2 linked regions of the Lonchura striata genome follow. The protein of the gene in region 1 interacts with the protein of each later gene in a biochemical or structural test. Links are inferred from orthologs where the notes say so. Each region holds a gene or a part of one and is shown in the gene's direction. Other genes may lie near its edges.

Region 1 (10,537 bases):
TGGTATTTCACCAACATAATTAACTATTAGCTTTTTAAAGGATGAGTTTCATCCTTCTTTTGACTGAATGCAGAAGATGTGTTATGATTGTTCTAGAAAAGTGATAATACCAGACTTTTCACAGAAACTTGTAAAATGAAGACTTGCTGAATTCTCTGAAGCTTTTTTGTCTTTGTCCCTTGGTGTATAGATTACATATCTTCCAGACCATTTTTTCATAGTCCCTTTGCTTTGCTGGCTTTTTTCAAAAAGTGTGTAGAAGTTAATCAGAGCTCCACAAAATCTCAAGGGAAAAAGTTGATGTTCATACCTTCTACCACAGCATTATAGCCAATAAAATTCTAGTCCTGTGGATTATTTTATCTAAGTCTGTTCTAGGTAAAAATTTTAGGAAAATCAATCTTAATCAGAAAAACCTATCTACGTTTGAAGTAGTAGGTTTATATTCTTTCTAAATGTACTTTAGCCAAATAGTTAAATTCTTGTTGGACTTAAATACTGCAAACTGACCTGGATTTACTTCCTTTTCTATGTGAAGGAGAATGTTTTACATTTCGATTTTAAATATGTCACAGAACAGCAAAGACTGAATTTTGCAGTTGGTGACATTAAAGTTGATAGGGAGTCTGGCTAATGTGTCTCAACCAGCAGAATAAATCAGAATAAGAACTCATGTTTTGCTATGAATACGCAAACCCAAAAGGACCATGACAGGTCTCTCCACACCAGGCAGTAGAAGGATTTATATCTGGGGCTCACCTCCAAATGCTCTGACCATCCTTGTCAGTGGCATCATCTCCCTCTTTGCTGCAGTTGCTGAAGTGAAAGATCTGGGCTATAAAGAGGCCTATGAGGAAAAAACTTTCTGATACAGATGAAATATTGAGCTCACAGGATTATCCTCCTCAGAAAGAGTGGGTAGATCTCCTATTTCTTCTTTGGATAATGTGAGAGATTTTGCAACCAATATTTTGTTCTGTGTCTCTAACAATTATGTAGCTAATTCTCCTCAGAAACAAGGCTTTTTAAGCACCTGAATCAGAATATTGGTTTCCATTAGGAAAGAAGGCTCTAATCTTAGGAATTTGAGTTAAGACTCCAAAGGAAAGAAAATTTGCTAGTCCATAGAGTTTGAAGAAGCCTCTTGTGACCTCAAGAACATGCATGTAGCACTGCACTTGAGGCTACATGTTAAATTGAGTCAGGAGCTGAAGGTAACACACCAATAGATTGCTGTTTGTCCCCAGTAATTTCCCTGGTGAGCATTATGATGCAGAGATAATTCACAGAATAAATAAATCATTCAACTAAACAACACTGCTGATAAATAATTTCCACTAAACTGCACTTTCAATTAACTTGCAACAGAAGGCACTTTCAGATGATAGGGCTGGAATGCCTGTAGGCATACAAAATGTCTTTCTTTTAAAATCAGGCAGGTTTTTGGTTGTTTCTAGGCTTTACAGGGGAATATTGCTGTTGGTCTTTTCAGCAGGCATTTTGATTAAGACATGTATTTTTAGCCTTTGAAACAGAAATATCATACTCAATGTGTTCCATTACTGTGTAATATATACTGTATCCTCTTTGATAATGTTGGAGTTGGTCTTTGAAAATAACTCAAGTATCCAGAAATTTTGAAAATAAGGGACAAATCTTACCCTAAACAGATAACAAGAGGACGTAACCTTCCCTCCTTTCCCAGGGAGTGAGAGCAAGTTCATCAGAAGTAATCTATGTGCTTTGTCTCTACATGCATAAGCTCACAGATTGCTTATGAATGTAAGAACAGCTTGATTTTCCCACATCAAGAAAATAAGGTTTTAGGAAAAATTTACCTCTCTTATCTGCCATAATACTGGAAAGTCTCCAATAAACCTTCTGTGTGAGACAAAATTCAGACAGGTTGTGCAGCATAAACCATAACTCAGATGTTTCTATAAGCCACCGTCTTCTTCTAAAAGCTATTTTTTTGCCACTCTATTAATGCTCAGAGCTGTTTACTTGTTCTCAGGTGTGAAATCAAATCCTGGGAGAGCTGGGCTGGCCTGTGGCGTGACTCAGCACCCATCACCGTGTTCCTCTGATGGATGAATCTGGCAAGCAGCATGATGTGGGATCATGCCTTAAGTATGTTCATGTGAGTATACAAGCTTTAGTCCTGAGGAAGAATTTATCTGAGATGATTACTTGCTTGTTCCCTGGAGAGCAAGGAAAGAAAGCATACAGGTATTGTATGCTATGAATAAGTGGGGCCATCTCCACAAAGTAACTGGAGAAGCATTAGCACATAACAAGTTAGGGTTATGAGACTCATTTTATTTGCTAGAATTTATATATGTAGAATGAGGTTCTTTGGAATGTGCTACACTAAGAATAAGTAGTTTTAAGCTCTACTATTGGTTTACTGAGATAGAAAATCTTGCTCATTATAGCTATATTCAGAAACCACTCTGCACTGATTTCCCATACACACCAAGGGAGCTGAGTTGGAGTAATTCCAAGTACTGCGTGTGACATGATGCAACCTTAGTGCAACTCATCTGCAGCAATAACATGTATTTCAGCAGAAATGTAAAGAGAGAGAAATAGATTTTGTTTTCCAAGAATTTATAATTGAACTATGATCATGCATATATATTGGTAAAAGCCACTAAATTGCATTAATTCTAGATATGTAGGAACCAATATCATGTGAATGTAACCTTTATCTGGATATTGAATTCTCATTTATTTTGCCTTGTCAGATTGATTACATAGTGAGCTACAGTATTTTGCATAGCTACTAAATAAATGATGCATTTGAGACTTTGCATGGTCTGGGAAGGAAGCCTCTGGATCAATCCCTTCACTGTTACATAGAAGGAAAAGTTCAAGGAACATGAAACTAATAATTGTGATGGAGGAAGTGGTCTTAGGAAAATAAAGAACTTTTTAAACACATCCCTACTCAGTTTCTGGTTGAACAACTGTGCAATCCTGGGCAAATAATCTAGATTTTATCTGTAGGATATAATGTAAGATCCTGCAGAAATACCCACAGTGACTTTGACTGAACTGTGAGAACTATTTTTTCCTCATCTTGCTGAAATTTTCAGCTCTTGCAAAGCTAGGACATGTCACATAGACTACGTGGTACTGGAATAATAAACTGTACATTTATCAAATCAGGTATAAGAATCAAACCACTGAAACTATTTAGCAAGATTTATGAAAAGAAAAGAAGAGCAAAAAGAAAAGCGAGGCTTACGACAAGAAAAAGAAAACACAATAGGAATAGGAACTTTAGATAACGAAAACTCTTCTTATTTCTGAATCTGTTGTCCTTAGATAAAATGGAATTCCTTATAAAATTGCAATGTGGAATTAAATGGAATAATCTGTAGATCTGGAGAAAATATTTTTTTCAGTATTGGTTGTTACACTGCTGCCTATGTAGGCAGGGAACTATGAGTGTGTCAGGGAGGAGTGTGTAAACTGAACCTGGCCTGCTTGCTTCAGTGTGTTTATCAACATGATTTTGCTGTGTGTCTGGGGAAACAGCAAACTGACCTTGCTGGTCCCTGTGTTACAGGACTGGGATGTCTGTGATTCTAGTTAGGGACCCTGGTGAATTGCTCCAACTCTGTGGTCAGCCAGAGCAGCCTAAAGCCAACACAGATGCTGCCACTTCAAGGAGCCCTTGAAAATATTTAAGTGCATCCCATCACAATTCATGAGTCCTTTTCTGTGCCTCCCAGTGGGCTAGAAAGTCTGCAAACGAGGAGTGACAGAATGTTTCCTGGGCTTCCAGCAGACTCCTGCAGCCCCTTCCCTGGCTCTGTGTGAGACCCCACGTGTTTGGACACACAAGATGTCTCAGAGGCACTACTGCTACAGCTCAGATGTGGGCAGTGCATGGCTAGGGGCAGTTGATTCTCTCTGGTAAAGAAGCCTTAGTGCAGAGTGCTGGTAGGAGATGCTCTGGCTGCTGCATGGCTCTGCCACATCTCCCTGCAGTGACACCTGACAATTGCACATTGCCCCTGATCCATTCTTTCAGGGCCTGGGGTAGGGGGTCTGAGGGGCCGGTGCTGTGGTGGGGAGCTAAGCTGGAGGCAAACAAGCAAATGTCAAAGACACCTGGTAACCCTGCATGGTTCTTAAAGGTCTTGATGGCTGTTATCCCTCAGGAAGAATGGGACAGAAGGGGAAGGAGAAGCCACCTCAAGCCAGCAGGAAGGGGCCATGTAACAGCAACAAAGTGAGCCAGCTCTTCTGTGAAATCCTCATCTGAAAAACATCAATTGTAAATTTGCAATCTCATTTTTCCACATTTGCATGTGAATAAATCTGATGCTTAAATGCCCTGAAGAAAATGAATGAGGCATTTGTCTAAATGTGTGTTCATATTTGAAAATATCAACTAAAAATCTAGGAAGCCTTTGTACACCCACCTTTGCTATCCCTCTTTCAGCTGCTCTGAGGCCCTTTCATAAAGTACTCTTTTTTACTTACAAGAAAAGCAAGTATTGTTGCCATGTTTTTGCTCTGGTATTTTTGCTTTGCCTTAGAGAATAGCTGCTTTTTTGCTAGCCCTTCAGTTCAGTGTCTGATCCTACAGTTCTCTTCCTTTTTCATCTCTGATCTTAGATGAGCAAATACCTCAGAAATACATTTCACAATAATTGCAAAGCCAGTTTAAAAAAGCACAGCAGCATTAGTTCTGGTGCTGATGGTGAGTTATGAGAACTCCTGTATGCGAGGAAGAAAACAGACTAAGAAGAGGGTTTTCAGAAGCAGAAAAACAAGCGCTATGTTGGCCTGAACAGTTCAGAGGTGGAAGGATGTTCTGATTTTGCTCAAAGCAACACTAGCATTGATGTTTTGCATTTTGTTTTGTATTCTTCCCTTTTTTCTCTCTATATATATGTTGGATATATAAAAAAATTTAGAGCAACATGAATTTCTCTTTTTTTTTTTCTATTTTATTGTAGGGAATATTACTTATTGGTTCAAATGCAGTGATTGCTTTCCAGATGCAAGATGTTTTGCAGTTTGAGTAGGAGTAGCTTTCATAGGAACAGGACAGATGCCTGGCTAAATATTTCAGGCAGGTCTTTTAGAATGACATGGTAGTTGTGATATAGGTCACAATTACACGAGCACTGAAGTTGTTTGCACTCAGTCACTCAGTATTTGTGCAAGTAGGTTTCCTTGATTTTTTTTTTAGTGATGCACTATCACTGTTTAGAAGATTACTTACTTTTGTGGGAAATATTGTGCAAAGTGCTCTACATTAGTTTTGGCTGATATTTATTTAACAACAACAGATACTAGTGCAGGAACTCAGATCCAAATTCCTCTGAATTTCATGAATATTCCAGTCCTGTTTGTAATCTGTACATTTTTTATTTGTCTACCAAAGATATAGGACAATTTAAGATAGTTTCTTAAGCAATTACCACAGCCTTATTCTGAGGAAGTTGCCCCACAGGAAGTTTCTGCATGTATCATAGGGTGCCTGTATAGACCAGACTTGCAAATTGGTGTTAATGCAAGTGATAACTATGCAGTGGTACAGAAGATAATCTGGAATAGATCAGTCACCATCTCTCACTGTTTTTTAATTAGTTACCTTCATTTAGATACCTAATACAGAAAATTATTATCCTTCTGAACTGCCTTTTGCCATTACTATTTGGCAACTCTAATTTCAATATAAGATGTAAAACAGCTCTCTGAAAACTGTTAAAAAAACACAACAATCTTAGAAAATTAGATAAACCTAGTGAGGGTTAAACTTAACTTTTTTTCCTGTAAGTGTCATAAGCCCAACCTAGAATTCTTTAATAGATACAGTGCAGAGCAGAACTGAAAGTATTTTTAATTTCACTGCTTTGTATATTTACAGAGGGATTACAACAAACTTCTACACTTTATCTACATTTTAATAGGTCAGTGCGAACATATGAAGCCTATTAAGGTGGACTGACTTATTAAACTTACGTGAATTTTCCCAAAGCCCCCAGCAGTTGTGTGCAGCAGGGGCTGGGCAGACATGCATGATTGAGGTCATGCATCCAGCCAGTTTGTAAGATGATCCCTCTGTAGTGAGCCATCAGCCATCCTTAGCATAGGGGCGCACTCATACACGCATTCCTGTCAAGTCATCTTGTGAAAGGCTGCTTGCTTCCAGCTTGGCTTGAAAGTGCAACCTTAATAAAACTCACTGAAGCCTGAGAGAAAATAGCAGTTCTGCAGCAGATAGTGTAGGGGAAAGAGACTGGGATATGCATATGCAGCTGACTAAAGCAAGCTACATGCTGGACTGTAACAGAAAGGAAACAATAAATCTTAGCTACTATGCAATAAATATTCCCAATTTTAACTAAGGAAGCTATCCTCACAGTGAAATTAAAAAAAAAAAAGCAGTTTATCCAAGCTTGATTGTTAAAGTGTGCTGCTCCGCTCTTTTTTCCAAAGACTTTAAGGCAAATTAAGAACAAATTTAAAGAAAGAGGAAGAAAAAGTTTTTCTTAAAGCAGGAAAGGAAAGTAAAAATAACATGTCAGTTTTCTTTTCCTTTGCTTTCCTGGCAATGATTCTTGCTCTTGTAGGCTGTTCTAACCAGCGTCGGGGTTCAGAAGGCAGTGGGAGAAGATTTAACCGGGTTCAGCACGGGCAGTGCACCTATACTTTCATTCTGCCGGAACAGGACGGGAACTGTCGTGAAAGCACAACAGACCAGTACAACACAAATGCTCTTCAGAGAGATGCTCCTCACGTGGAACAGGATTTCTCTTCCCAGAAACTGCAACATCTGGAACATGTGATGGAAAATTACACTCAGTGGCTGCAAAAAGTAAGTGCTTCTTTTTTTGTTTCTCACTAAATGATTTTTTGGGGAATGTTTATGCTGTTCAAAGTTTTTGTTAGTTTCTATGAGAACAGAAGTAATAAGGATTGATACAGTTCTTGGCTGTGTAGGAAAGAAATATTTTAGCCGGAGTGCACCCTTGCTAGTGACATTGCTTTTGGGAGCTGAATTTTCTTCACTTCACTGAAAGATGTGACTTCTTAAGGCTTTTTTTTCAAGAAAGTATGGATGCGTGTGAGTCGGAGGACACAGAAATCCTCCAGAGACTCTACTGACAGAGCATACGAAGTTCTTATAAGCTCTACTTATAGTTCACAGATTCAGCTCAGATGTCATGCAGGATACCTGCTACTGTGACAGCAAAAGGGAGCATTTAAAAAAATCAGCATTTAAGGGCACTGGGTTAAGAATATCATTGTTCCTCCATAAACAGGTCCTGTAGTACTATTCTACCCCTCTGATTCCTAGAAAAAAAAATGGAAAATATATAGACATTCACACTTCTAAAACTTCACAGTAAACATTTTTTGCCATGTTGAATACACTGGTCTTGACAGCCTGCTTCAATTTGTGTTTATCTATGTGCATTCTTTCCTAGAAAGGGGAAAATGGGTTTCAAGGTGTTGCAGTAACTTAATAGAAGTAATTATTTTTATGAAGTTTGGGTCTGAAAGGCTTAAATATGAGCAGTTCTAGTTACCTTAGCATGATTACTTACATGTGTAAAATTACATGTCTTGCACAGATATTGTCCATACCTTTGTAAAGAAAATGGTTTGGAGTAGATGACCAGTTAAAATAAATAAACAGTCTGTATATATAGCTATTTGTGATATTCCCATTCACATGCTGCCATTTTGACCTGGCAAAACTTAGAAAATTGCACGACTGAGTGATGGAACTAGTCATGTAATCTGGTACGAGAAAACTTCTGTATGTACCCATTCAAGAGATGCAGTATTTAACTCCAACTGAGGTTCATACTAAGAATGAACATCAATAAAACTCTAACTCTACTAGGTGGGCTGAAATTTCATATTAGCACAGTTGCTGCTAACCTATCTCATTTACAAGTTTTCTTTCATCCACACAGTGCATATGACATAAATATGTTAAAAAGCTTATACTGGTCCCTCACCCACCTAACTCTACTAGAATTTTTAGAGTTTTTGATAAATTATTTGTTCTCTTGCATATCTGGCCATAGCAAGAGAGAAGAGATTCTGTATAGAAAACATAACCAAGCATTTAATTTTCAGACTACTTCTCTCATTTTTTAATGTCTTGATATGCCTTGGGGGAATATAGGGCTGGAAATAAGCGGATGTTTTATGTAGAGGAAAAGAAACTATTTTATTGTGCCTTGGCAGGCTGAGACAAGCACTAAAAAGAGGAAAGTTGTTTTCTGTTTTTATACACATATGATTTTACTTGAGGAAATTGCCTGCTGAATCATGCTTCTAAGACTTATTCTGTGTTTGTCCACTAGAGACTGAACTAAGATCACTGTTTCAACAGTGATCATGAGGAAATATGAGTCTCTGGAGTGTGGATGTCTGAGGGTTAGTCCTCTCACACTTTGGAGGGAAGTGATTAAACAGGTAGGAAGCCCAGTGAAAGGGATTTATATTAGGCCTGTTTTCTTCTGCAATGGTTGTAAAACCGGCTGAGGGCAGAACTATTCCCCTCCTCCTTTCCCTCCCAGCCCCCAGTGCCTTGCTCCCAGGGGTTAGCATAAAACTGGGATTATGCATGTATCTCCATGTGTCAGCTCTTGGAATGAAAGGACCTGTTTCTCTTGTGAAGGACCATGTCTCACTCTGAACAAATGAGGCTGATGCAGCTCCTTTATAGCATCTCTGAATACTGAATTTGCTTTGTTGCTGTTGCCACTACAAAGCATCTCAGCCATAACTCATTTCCTTTCAAAACCTGCATAATTCTCAAGTGTAATGAATATATAATGTAGGTATCTCACATCTCATTTTTATACTCTGCATTTATTTTTCCCCTAAACTTTCTACACTAGGCAGCATTTTACAATGCACCTGCTGTGAATAAACTAAAGAATAATTAACAGCTGCAGGTCTTTCACTGCAGGTCTTTCACTGGAAGAGAATACTTATACTCAGAAATAATGTTTAAGAATTTTAGAAATAGTCTGACATAGGCAAAGGAGTTATGCTTATTACTTCAGGTCATATATATAGCTTTCAATAAAAAATTACATAGGCAGTGCTTGGCAAAGTGAATTATTTTCTAAGCACAAATGCTCCCCGTGATATTTGAAAAATACTTACTGCAAAATTTTGTAAGAATCATGGCTTGCTTAAATTTTAATTTAAAATTGTTATTTAATATCCAAACTATCAGATTTTTAGAACCAAAACAAATATACTTTTCTGTAAAAAATGTAATTTTTTTTTCTTAATGCAAAATTGCTTCTTTGATGACCTACAAACTTGATTGTGGATAAAAATGCCCTTGCTTGGGAAGCCAATTATAGGCAATTAAGGCCCAGCCTTGTCCATTATAATTTGCATATCTATAATCAGTGTAAGTGGGGTTGGTTGACAAACCAGGGACATGGCAAAATGCTCTGCACAGAAACTTTGCAGAAGAAGATGACTTGGTAAACATTTTTAGAGATTTTCCTAGAACTGTTTATTTTAATACCGGATAGCTTTCCCCATTGTTTAAGCTTGGATTTCATTTCTGCAATATGTTTATACTGATAGTTCAAAACAAACAGTTCATCACATTTTCTTTCTTGCAGTTACTGACTGGCTCACGTGACACTCTTTGGTATTTAGTTGCAGTGTCTAAGTATTGCCAAAGAGGAGTTACATGAAATGTTATCATCATGTCTTGCTTAGGAAGTTGCTGTTGGCTTGCTGAGCTTACAGTATTGGTGGACTCAGTGTACATTCAGGATAGCTCTATAGATGAGTGTTCCATATAGTTTTCCTGACATCTAAATGGTGGTAATAATTGTTATAACAGTAATGAGTGAGTTTTACATGATCTACTGCTTCTTTTCTTCTCTCTCATTATATAAGCAGAGTACCATAAAACCTATAAAAGTATATAATTAGAAGCTAACACATACAAGTATTACAAGAAGGTAGATAGACCAAAAAAAAAAAAAAAAGGGCAGCTTCCACTCACTTCCTCTCCCTTCAAAGTGCCCGTGCTGTTATTTATCAGCTACAATCATTAAAGAAAGAAATGATGAACGGTTTTTCTGGGATATCTGTAACCCTTTGATAGTCAAAAGTTCATTCTTAGAATAAATATACTAAATTATTTTTGTGGTCTTTCTTGACTTCCTTATTTTGCAACAGTAACAACACAAGTGCCCACCTAGGTTTTAAACAGGTAAGGGGTCTAGTTTTTGAGGAGGCCATCCATTATGTAGAAACAAATGGAATTTGGAAAGACCAGCGTCTGTCACTGTGTGCTGTGGCTCCACTGAAAGTCTGCCCCTTTGTGCTGTCTTTACTATCAGGGCTTATCTACTGTTTTCTGCAATAAAATATAATAGCTGATTTTTGCCTTGGATTTTATATAGTTTGCTGAAGATGGGAAAATCCCTTTCCTGTCACTCTTGCTGTGAAGCAGAGTGGAATTATGACACAGTAAGCTGAGTGAAAATGTGACAGAGCCTACCCTGAGCAG
Region 2 (11,061 bases), on another chromosome or scaffold:
ACCAAGGAACTGTGTATGACTCCGATCAGCAGTTCCTTTAAACTGGAGACTCACAAATTCATGGATACCCACAGAAACCCCACTGTTCTTACTTGGAGCTGAGCTCAGATGGTTGGAGCCTGACTTGGCTCCAGAGAGGAAGCTGCCAAGTCCTCAACAATGAAAAATGTGGTCACTCCACAAAGACACACAAAGATGGATTTAGAGGCCAAAGTGTACATGCAACCCATTTCCCAGAAAGGTAGCCAAATTATCCTGCTGACATTGTTAGAAATCCTTGGTATCCTGCATAACTGCAAGCAAGGAACAGACACATCACCTTTCGGTTTGCTGTCCATCAACAGGGTAGGGCAGAGAGCCACCTCATACCTTGCCCAGGGGTCAGAGCAAACGGATCAAGCAAGACTTGATCCATTTGCCGATGGATCAGGCCAACACACTCCCTGCCACCCATCCCCTCCACTCACCTCGCCTGCGCCACAGCCACTGCTGCAGAGGGTGCACGCTGCAGTTGCAGACCCAGGGGTTCCCTTCCAGATGGACCCATGGGACTGTCTCCAGCAGCTGCAGGCTCCAAGTGTCCACAGAGACCAGTGCATTGTGTTGCAGGTCCAGATGGAAAAGAGCTTTCAGTGGCAAAAGGAAAGGGACATCAAGCTTTTGCAAGCTGTTGTTTCTTAGAAGCAGTGTGTGCAAGTTTCCCAGACCCTTGAAAGTGTCCACGTGGATGTAGGTGATGCTGCAGCTGCTCAGGTCCAGCAGATGCAGTGCTCCAAGGTTGGAGAAGACTGCTGGGCTCAGCGTAAGCTTGGCATTGCTGGAGAGGTTGAGAGAGTGCAGAGAAGGGAAATGCTTCAAGAGAGTCCTGTGATGGGGCATGACCAAGGAGTTGAAGGAGAGGTCCAAACTGGTGATGTTTCCTGGAAGGGAACTTGGAGCATGCTGAAGGCTCTTCCCACTGCAATTGGCCCATCCCTGGGAAAAGAACTACTGTCTGAGATGGGCTATCCATGATGGGGAGTGTCTCTAGAGAGAGACTCCTCAAAAGTTCAAATATCTTAATTACCCAGCAGAGTTTAAAATAAGCAAAGACACACACACATTTAAAAAGCACATGAGCTGCCAGACTGGAGTGGGCCTAGATAAATAGAGAAAGGTGAGGAGGACAGCCCAGGACTGAGAGCAGCTGACTGAAACAGCATAGGAGGAGCATGCAGGGCTGGAGGAAGAGCCCAAGTGGATGAGTGAGAAGGCAGCAGGTTGTCACCCCCCTGTCCTTCCGTACAGGGCAGTTGTCATACAGGGTCAGTTTGCAGAGGGCCTTCCTTTTCCTACCCTGGATCCCCACCTCCAGCCCCCTGGGAGCTTTTGTGTGACACAGGGGCATCCTCCCAGCTGGAGCAGGGAAGCAGGCGAGCTTTGCCTGGCAGGAAGCTGACCAGGCTGGAGAGCTGTAGGCACCTGTACCAGTCACCCAGGCTAGGAACAGCTCCCTGGGACCTGTGCAGGACAGTGCACCAATGCTTTCATCTACCCCACGTTCCTGAGGATACACTGTGTGTGGCTGTCGCTTAATGCTAGCTGGCTGTGTCAGTATTAGGAAACAAAAAGGCCAAGGACCATTCACTGTCTCAAATACCAGCAGAGCAGGATGGAAGGATCAGTCAACCCACATGGATTTTTTTTTTTACCAGTAAAACAGGGTGCCTCAACTCAAATAGTTTTGGGTAGCAGTCCCCAGCATGGGTTACTCTTGCCTGGGCTTTTAGTGGGAAGGGGTCAAATGTCCAAACTGAAGCAGACAGAGAGCAAGTCAGAAATTTAAATTTGGTTGGGCAGGCACAAGCTCCTGTTAAGTGCTGTGTTTGGACCTCGCAAGCAGAGATGCTGGGCTGCAAGTTTACTGTGGTCCTGGGTTTCTGTGTCTGGCTATATTCCCGCTAGATGGGCTTTTCATTTATTTTACCTCTCCTTTCATCCTCCTGTCCACCTAAATCTCCTATCAGACCCTGCTGTTCCTGCTTGGTAGAGGAACAGATATACCCTTAAAACCTGGGGTGCTGAGGACCGGCTTATAATTGGGCAAAGCCACAGGGGCATCACATGGGTCCTGTTTCCAGCTCAAACACAGCTGGGCTGAGGGAGGCTTTGGAAAACAGTGCAAACCTTTGGGTGGAATAACTGAGAGATCAGTGGAAAGGTCAGTGGCCCATGACAGCCAGTTTCCTTCATTCCCTCAGCTCCTGCCTGATGCAGCCAAGCTGCTGGCTGCAGTGCTTGTCCCAGCAGCTTAGTTGTGTTTCCTGCTCCTTTCTGGGTGCTCAGGGATCCCAGCCCCAGGCTTGCCAATCACCCTGGCTGCAGTCACTGCATCACCATGCACTGGGGAAAGGAGTGAGGGGTTGGGACATCTTCAGGGATGTGACTCATGGCTGCTTGCCATGCACCCCTTATGGGCAGCTGTGTTACGCCTGCAGCCAAGAGACCCCCACAGTCAGAAACGCCATGACTCAGACAATGCTGTGCCAGGCCATGCTCTGGTGAACAGGCTGGACAACATGACATGTTCAGCCCAAGGCTGGGAGCAGGACAGACAGGCTTTGGGGTATGGCCAAACCACCCCTGTGGCTGGCACAGCACATCTCTCAATTAACTCCGCTGGCTCCCGTCTTCTCTTGAGCTGTGCAGAGCAGGAGCTGCCTGCCACGCCCGTGGGCACCCCAGCTGTGCTGGCAGGACCCGGAGCGGGGGCCCTGCCCACCCGCAGCCCCCACGGCCCCCCTACCTGGTGGTCAAGGCTGCAGGGGTGTCCCATCACCACTGACCAGACGCAGAGGAGGCCACACACCCAGCAGAGCAGGCAGGTAGGAGCCATTTGGCTCCAGGAAACTTCCGGCCAGAAAAACAAGTCTCGGGGAAAGCTGGGAAGCCGGCAGAGCCGGCCGTGCCGGACGAGGTGTGGCGCGGCCGCCCGGCTCAGGGCCGCACCGAGTCCCGCACGCCGGCAGCGCCCGGGCCCCGGCCCCGCTGCCCCGGCCCCAATGCCCCGGCCGGAATGCCCCGGCCCCAATGCCCCGGCCCCAATGCCCCGGCCCCGCGGCCCCGGCCCCAATGCCCCGGCCCCAATGCCCCGGGCCCGCTGCCCCGGCCCCGCTCCTCCCGAGCCGGTGAAAGGTGGCGGTCCCGGTTACACATTAACAGCCGCGCCCATCACCTCCCAGCCCTGTGCCGCCCGTGATCGGTGGCCGGGACCGCCTGCTGCTGTCTGGGGTGCCGTGGGGGCTGCCGGCGTGGCAGCAGGACCCTGGGACGGGCTGGGGGCCTCCAGACAGAGGAGGGGACGCTGTGTCTGTGGCATCTGCCCTGAGACACCGCGCTGGAGGACAGCAGCCTGAGCCGGGTCCGGCTGCTGGTCCATGCACCTGGGACAGGGGCACACAGCCAGTCCTGGCCGGGGAACTTGGGCTGAGGCAGCAGGAAAGTATCCTACAGGAAAACAAAAGTCTTGCTGGGATTCCAGCAGAAAGGTGTTTAAAGCAAGCAGCAAACTGGCAGGTCTCCGGGCCCAGCAGCAGCAGCGCAGTGAACAGCACCTGGCCATGAAGGTCCCAGAGGATGGGAGTGCCCCACCACCTTCGGCACGCCCCACACAGACCTGCCGCTTAACAGTAGTTCTCCCTTCCAATCCTGCTGTGGAGTCAGTGAAAGTCTGAGAAATCATGTCAAAGCAGCATCTCATGGGTGTTTGCTGGCACACCAGACCTGCTCCTGTGACCACGGGTGATGGGGCGGGCGAGTGGGCAAGGCTGGCAGAGCCACAGGCCAGGCAGGGAAAGAACTGGCTACACCTGCTCCTGGCTTTGCCTCTGCAGCAAGAGGGAGCACCAAGCTCTTCCCTGCTCCCCATTCCCTGGTCCCACGCCTGCTCAGCGTCAGGAAGCCGATTGCCAGCAAGAGCACTTTGGAACTGTCAGCAGCTGGGACAGGACGGCCTCTCCTCCCCCAGCTGCCAAAGGGCTCCTCCACAGCCGCACGTCCCACCCTTTCCTCAGGGAAAGCGCTTCCCAGCAGCCTGTCCTTCATCCTGTGGGCATGTGCTGGATGCCAACGCAGCAGGCAGCTCCTGCTTCCCAACTGCCCAGGCGGGCTGGGGATGCTCAACTACCCAGTTTCCAGGATGTTCCTATGCCTGGTGGGATCAGTCCTTAACCCAGCCTTGTGGGGCCTCCCCAGGACCTGCTGAGCACATAAAATAAAACAAGCATCCAGAGAAGTAGGGCTAGAAAGTGTTGAGGCAGCTCGGTCCACTGGTGCATCTGCAGGGCGGTTGCATTTCCTATCAGGAAATGTATCTGTGTGTTATGGTTTCTGGCATGTGGTGCTATGCATTAGAATGTGCAAATGATAACAAAAAGTGATATTTTTGTCATTCTTTGGGGTTTTTGGTTTGGTTTTTTTTTTTGTTTGTTTGTTTGTTTTTGTGGTGGTTTTTTTGTTTGGTTGGTTGGGGTTTTTTTGTTGTTTTTTTATTCTGTTGTGCTTCAGCTGAGGATCATGGAATCAGCAGATATTCAGGTGCCTGGAGTTTCCTATGGATTGGGCAACTGGAGCTTTCCATGTTGCAGGAGAGCAAGTGTGGAGAGCTGCTTCAGCTGTGCCTATCTCTCTGGTGTCTTCTCTGGAGAGAGATAAACCGGAGGTGTAAGATCCTGACTGGCCACAAAACTCCCCAGAAAGGTTTCCTACCCTACCTCCACCTGAAGGAATCTGCACAGAAAGACAGCACAGCTCTTATCCAGGTACTCCTAGACAAAAACACAAGCAAACAAATCACATTGGGTCAGATTCCTCAATGGATCCCTGAGATCTGGTATGGTCTGGTGTTGAGAATGATCCCACGTGGCTCCCATTATGCAAAAAAATCTGTGCAAATAATCCCATTCTCAAATGGATCCTCCTGAAAGAAGGCATTTCACAGAGTGCACTGTAACTCGGGCTCTGTGTGATGTGCTCCCCCACAGCTGCCAGGGAAGCATGGAATGAGTTGCACATAAGCACACAGTTCTGAGCCTGACTGGCCTCTACAGACAGCTTCATTTTCCAGGCAAATGAGGGCAGCTGCACCTGGTGTCCACCTTTTTCAGATCCTCTCCACCCCTCCTGCTGTGGGGTGGCCAGGCAGCTGCACTGTGGGAGCCCCTGCTCACTGCCATCCCTCCCTCAGCATGCCATGGGCACTGTGCGGCCCCAGAGCACTCTGTAAATAGCCGGAAGCGATGAATGGATTTCCCTTTCCTCTCCATGTGTGCTTTAGATTTTTGGCCGGATACAGCATGGGCCCAGGACACATCAAAACATGAGATTCACTGCCTGGCAGCGCTGGCTTTCACATGGGAACAGTTTGGTTTGTGAAGCAGTGTGAAGTTTGGTGCATGAAGCGTATGGTGATTTCCCGGGGAATGCTTTTTGTTTGCCAGGCAAAGAGCCTGGATCCGGATGGGGGCTGGCACAGGCTCCATGGTGGGTGTGAGACACTCGGGTTGGGCTGCAGCAAGGCCATGCTGTGCTGTGCCCATGCCAGCACTGTGCATGGGAAAGTGCTCAGGGAAAGCCAGGCTTTCTCCTGCTTCCCCTTCCTCCCAGACATGTTTACCACAAACCACAGGGTTTTCTCCTTGGGCAGTGGCCACCCTCCTGTGTGAGCTGGGCAGATTGTTGGCACCCTGCCGGGGCTCCTACTCGGCCCCTTCCAAGCCGGACGGTGTCCCCAGGACGGGCCCCTGCAGGATGGGTCCAGCCTGGCCCTCGCACCCCGCCCGTGGCGGCGGGAGGCTGAGGCGCCCCGAGGTGTGCGTGGCCTCAGCCCCGCCGCACGCCGCTCCCCGGGGGACACCCGTGCAGGGCTGCTCCCGACGGCTCCTGGAGTCAGGGCCGTCTCCGAACAATGGGTGGAGAGCAGGAAACGCCGCATGGGAAACAGGATTTGGCTCCGCCGCCGCCAGCCGGCCACGGCCCCTTGGCCCCTTTCCTTTCCCTGCTCCAGAGAGCCCTTCCCACAGCCATCAGCCACGGGGCTGCACCGAGGGGATGGGGATGCCGCCGCCCGGGCGGGCTGGGGCATGAGGCACTCAACCTTGGACAAAAAGCAGGGTCGGGACACCTCCTGCCTGGGCTAGGGCCTCAGCATGGCTCAGGGAACCCTGAGCACGCAGCCCTAGCCCTGGAGGGGTGGACTGGTGCCTTTTTCTGGAAGAGCTGCCACCAGGCAGGGGACCCCAGTGGCCCCTTGGCCAGCAAGCCCTGCTCCTGAGCAGCTGGCTGGCCAAGGAGCCAGCAGAAACAGGGCATCTCGCAGTCCGTGTCCAGGCTATGCACCAAAGGAGGTTGTCCCAGCTGCCCTGGAAGTCAAGCAACAGCATGGAGAAGAGATGGGGACCACGGGCAGGGAGCACTGGACCTGAGCTGCTGCTCACATAGAGCTCCTAGGCAGACACAGCCTCCAGCTCTGACCTCCGTAGCCAGGAAATGCTGGAGATTTTCTGACCTCTGCCAGATTTGGAACAAGCTCCTAGGACATGGGACTCCGGCTTTATCTTCTACTTCTCTTCCCACATCTGGCAGGTAAATTGCTCCTTTTCATCTGCCTCAAGTGAGCAGCCCCTGCCTCAGGGCGGCTTGGTGGGACGAGGCAGCTGTGGAAGCTCAGCGGCGCCATCGGAACAGGGTAGGGAGGGAGGAAATGTCCCTTTGTGATCAGCCATTTGGAGCCCTCAGAGGCCCCTGGCTGCCTCTCTGACATGGGAGGAGAAGCACCCCAAGACCCCTGTTCTGATGCATGCTTGGCTTATGCGGGGGAATTGATCCATCTGGGGTCTCCAAAAGGAGAGCAGAAATGCATGCTGTGTCATCCCAATGTGTCTGCAATGTACCTTGCTTTGCCCAATCTGTGCCTTCTGGGCTGAGGGTGGCAAAAATGTCCTGGAAAGGGGGGGACATCTGGGTGACAGGATCTGGCCCTGAGACAGGGCTGGTGTGGCCATGCTCTTGTGGAGCTGTGACACACCCTTGTGCTCCCTCACCCCAGGGGCCATCCTGGACATCACCCTGATCGCCAACGTGCAGAGCCTGTCCCACTCTGACTTCTTCCTCTCCTGTGTCGTGGGGGAGCACGACGTGAGCTACCTGCAGATCGAGCGGGAGAACAAGATCGTGATGACACACCCTAAAATGGGCTTCCAAAACTATCGCAACCGCAGCAACCAAGTCCAGGCCAGGGGCTTCTCCAAGGCTGACCTGGTGGGGATCCTCTACTGCCTGGGGCGCACCCCGACCGAGCAGGCCCAGGTGGTCTATGTGCACAACAGCCACAACGGTGAGTGGCTTTTGGGGGCAGCAGGAGGCCCTCGCCTGCCAGTCGGGTGCACAGGAAACCTGCCTGCCCTGTGCTTCACAATCCCAGCACCAGCCAGGCTGGTGTGGGGACAGTGGTGACCCATAAGCTAGGTTTGGGGTCCACCAGCACTGGTGGAGTGGAGATGGGAGGTGGAAAGGATGTTCAGCTGGAGGAGCATGGTTGAGCCCCATGGAGGAGCCGTCTGTATTTATAATGAGGCTTGGGACAAGGGCAAGGTCCAAGAGGAAGTTGAGTGCCCTTGGAGGAGGTTGTAGGGTCTGAAAATCATTAACCAGAGCAGGGGCCAGCCCTTTGGAGCTGTGCCAGCCCATGCCCCCACCACAGGCTCAAGGGGAGGAGGTAGTGCTGGGGCATATCTTTGGCAGTCGCCCCAGGTGCTGGACAAACACCATCCCGGGGCAACATACCTCTGTTCCAGCAGTAAGGCTTGCTGAGAGGCACTGGCAGACCACACTGCAGCCAAGAGCAATGCTGGGCTCGTCTCCCACTCCTGTTTTGGGCCATAAAAATTGAAAAGGCCTCCCTGGGCTGACCAGCAGCAGGGATACTGCAGCACTCTCCCACACTGCCCCTCTGACCTCCCCTCCCTGTCCTTGAGACTTTGCAAAACTATTAGGACTGAAACTTTCTGAGATGTTTGCCTCAGGATGCTTTCTAGCTCTTTTTTAGAAAGTCTAGCTAAAACAGTTGACCTTTCGCTGAGAATAAGAGGAGGGGATACAAGTTTCCCTGCCTGGGTTAAGCACACAGCTTCAGCGAGGAGATCAAGTGTCTCCACACTGAGGCACAGAGGCTGATGATGAGGCCTAAGCATCCCCCAGGGAGCAGGGAGCAGGGCTCAGCTTTTGTCCTTGTAAAGAGGCTCAAGTTGAAAAATGACTGTGGTCCTGTGGAAATGGAGCTGGATTGTCTGAACAAGCAGGGTGGCACTGAGGAATGGAGCAGAGGCCAATGGAGAGACAGTGTGGGAGACACAACCAGCAGTGTGGGGTGAGGAGCACGGAGGGATTTCTGCACCCCAAGATGTCCTTGTTTATAAATCATGGGTGAAGGTGATGGCTCTGGGGCTCCATCCCTGGGACAGTTTTTCCCATGGTGGGGTGTTCTCAGTCAGCCCCCGCTCCTGACTCCACTTAGCCAGGCTAAAATAGTGCTTTGGAGGAGCCCCACAGGGGAGTTACAAGTGCCAAAAAGGTGTCTCTCTCACAAGTTCCAAAGAAGCTTCTATTGCTCTGTTTAGAGGAGGACTTTAAAAAATAAGGGACTTTGTAAACAAAAAATATACATGTTTGCAGGAGGGCTGGATACAGAACCCACTGAAGAGTGCGTGCCATCTCTCCTGTTTAGCCTGAGAGAACTGACCAAAGCAGCTAGGGTGATTAAACAGTGGGTGGGGAATGCTGTTAGAGGAAAGCTGGCAGCTCCCAAAAGGTCATGCATGGAGAAGAACTTAGGAAGTTTGATAAATTTTGGAAGCATTGCTGAAAAAACAAAGTAAAGAAAACCAAAGAGATCCTGAGAAGTAATTTCAGAAGTGTTTAAATCTGTCAATAAACTATCTTCTACACTTTCCAGAGCAGAAAGACACCCAGAAAAACAACTGTAGAAAAAACAGTGTTTTAAAAATTTTTGTATCTGTGTGCACAACAGAGGATTTGAGAAAACATGCTGGGGGGTCTGTCTAAAATGCCACTGTTGTTAGCAGGAGACAGATGATGAATAGCAGAACAGAGCAGCAAGACATTGCCAGGCTGGGCATGCGGTGAGCAAGGCTGTGTTGCTGCCCTTGTGAAACTATTCTCTCTTAAAACTTCTGGGTAGGGAGTTACAGGACTAAAAACTTGAGTCAGAACCTGGCAAATTAGCAGAAAGTGTAATAAAGAGCAGAATATGTGGTGGTGTGCTCCCTGAGAAAGAGGCAGCTGAGTTTGCAGTGGTAGGGTCTCTGGGGCAGCAGCAGTGAGGATGCTGTGGAAGACCAAATTGATACTCTCTGCTCAAATGCCAGGAGAAAACTGGGAAAACTCCTTTTCAGAGGTTCTTTGAGAGAAACTTTGCACCCAGGGGGTGGTAGGAGAGGTCTTTTCGTGGGTAAATAACAGACTATAAAAAGGGAGATTAGGAGTAGGAGCAGGCCTTGTCACATGAGGGAGTTCCCACTGGCATGGCACAAGGTCTTTGCATGGACCTATATCACCAGCTGTGGGTGCAAAGAGCTGAACAAGCAGCCATGCTGGCTGCTGTCCCCAAGCTGCCTGGGGAGATGATGGATGCACCATGGAGTGACAGAGAGATGGGGGAGAGATGCAGTTTGGGAGGGCTGCAGTGATGCAGTGACAGGTAAATCAGTGTGCACAAATGCAAAGTGTTGTGTTTGGGGGTCCCCAGGGAAATGTCACCTTTCGTTCCAGGGAGTGAGGTGGAGTGAAACTGAGTGAGGGCCATATCTGTGGTCCCACCACTGCAGGCTTCAAAGTCCATGGAAGAAAGATCCCAACTAGAGGGATAGGAGGGGAGAAAAGTCTGGGAAATTACTGCCAAGTGTGACCTGCGGTGCCCTTCCCTAGGCGTCTGTGGTGTGTGCTGCTTCCTCCTGGTCCTTGGCCTCAGAGGGGCAGGACACAGGGCTGGATGTGTTTTAGCTCCAACCCGGCGTGGCTCCTTTTAGTGTGTGCAAGCTGGAGTACTGCCAGGCTCCAAAAGCCAGCAGCCGCCTGGGTCCTCCTTTGTGTCTGTCCTGGCACGCCCTGGGCTTGGTTTCCCAGGCCTTAAGGTATTTATAACCCTGTTTGTGCTCAGGCTGGGGTCTGGCTGACTCACATTAATACTTCAGTTCATTGGTGCTGCACACCCCAGCACCTGGGGAATCAGGAAAACAGCCATTACAGGGCTGCTTGTCTTGGGGACTGGAGTGCAGCGTCCTGCACACTTAATTCCCCTCCCCTGCCCAGCTTTCCCTGTCTGCAGCACTCCACACCTCACCAGCAGGCAGGGTACACCATGCACACTTGTTCCAGATGTCACCTTCCCAGATTGCTGCCACCAGCATCCTGTGCAAATGGTGGGCTGTTCAGAGGGCAGGGTGCCAAATCCCATTCCTTGGTGTCTGCCTGAAGGGACTGGGAAGGGAGCCCTGTTCCTGCAGAGGCTTGGGGGGTCCTGGGTCCAGCATGAAGTGGAGAGGCAGATGTATCATGACATTCCAGCAGAAACATGTCAGGGTGTGCCCTGATGTGACTGGTCTAAGGGTGTCAGCACTGCCTTTGGATGTGAGTGTCCTCAAGGGTTGACCACTGTGCAATCTGTGCCTCCTCCTCTGCAGCCCACCTCTTCCCAGTGAAGGCCACACAGTCTGTGAATGTTGCTGAGGTGGCCACCTTCTCTGCCAGGATCCTCAAGAGGAAGGAGACAGATGTTATGTGGAAAAGAAACGGCAAGTAGTTCCAAGAGCAGAGACAGGGCTGGAGCTGCTCCCAGTTGGTGCCTGGTGCTGGCCCAGGGGGCACGGGAGGTTACAGATAACCCTGTGTCCACTTGCAGGTACCTACTACCAAACCACAGACCGGGGTGAGGTGCAGGATGACCATGTCGTCCTGACACTCCCCAATGTCAGTGTCAGCGAAAACGGTGTCTACAGTGCCACATTC

Evidence for each region.
Region 2: the proteins of ANGPT1 (region 1) and TIE1 interact in a biophysical measurement, tested with the Homo sapiens proteins (2 studies listed by BioGRID and IntAct, with this or other methods). The link is inferred for Lonchura striata from reciprocal best matches to the Homo sapiens genes ANGPT1 and TIE1.

The regions. Positions count from the first base shown.
Region 1 is NC_134603.1:18,762,826-18,773,362, forward strand, and holds the start of ANGPT1 (angiopoietin-1), read left to right. Parts: upstream 1-6,119; 5' UTR 6,120-6,547; coding exon 6,548-6,844; intron 6,845-10,537. UniProt on the Homo sapiens protein: Binds and activates TEK/TIE2 receptor by inducing its dimerization and tyrosine phosphorylation.
Region 2 is NC_134611.1:15,101,898-15,112,958, reverse strand, and holds the start of TIE1 (tyrosine-protein kinase receptor Tie-1), read left to right. Parts: upstream 1-6,058; 5' UTR 6,059-6,575; coding exon 6,576-6,621; intron 6,622-7,084; coding exon 7,085-7,372; intron 7,373-10,736; coding exon 10,737-10,847; intron 10,848-10,954; coding exon 10,955-11,061. Other genes in the region: C9H1orf210 (type III endosome membrane protein TEMP), read right to left, coding at 468-975, 2,786-2,875. UniProt on the Homo sapiens protein: Transmembrane tyrosine-protein kinase that may modulate TEK/TIE2 activity and contribute to the regulation of angiogenesis.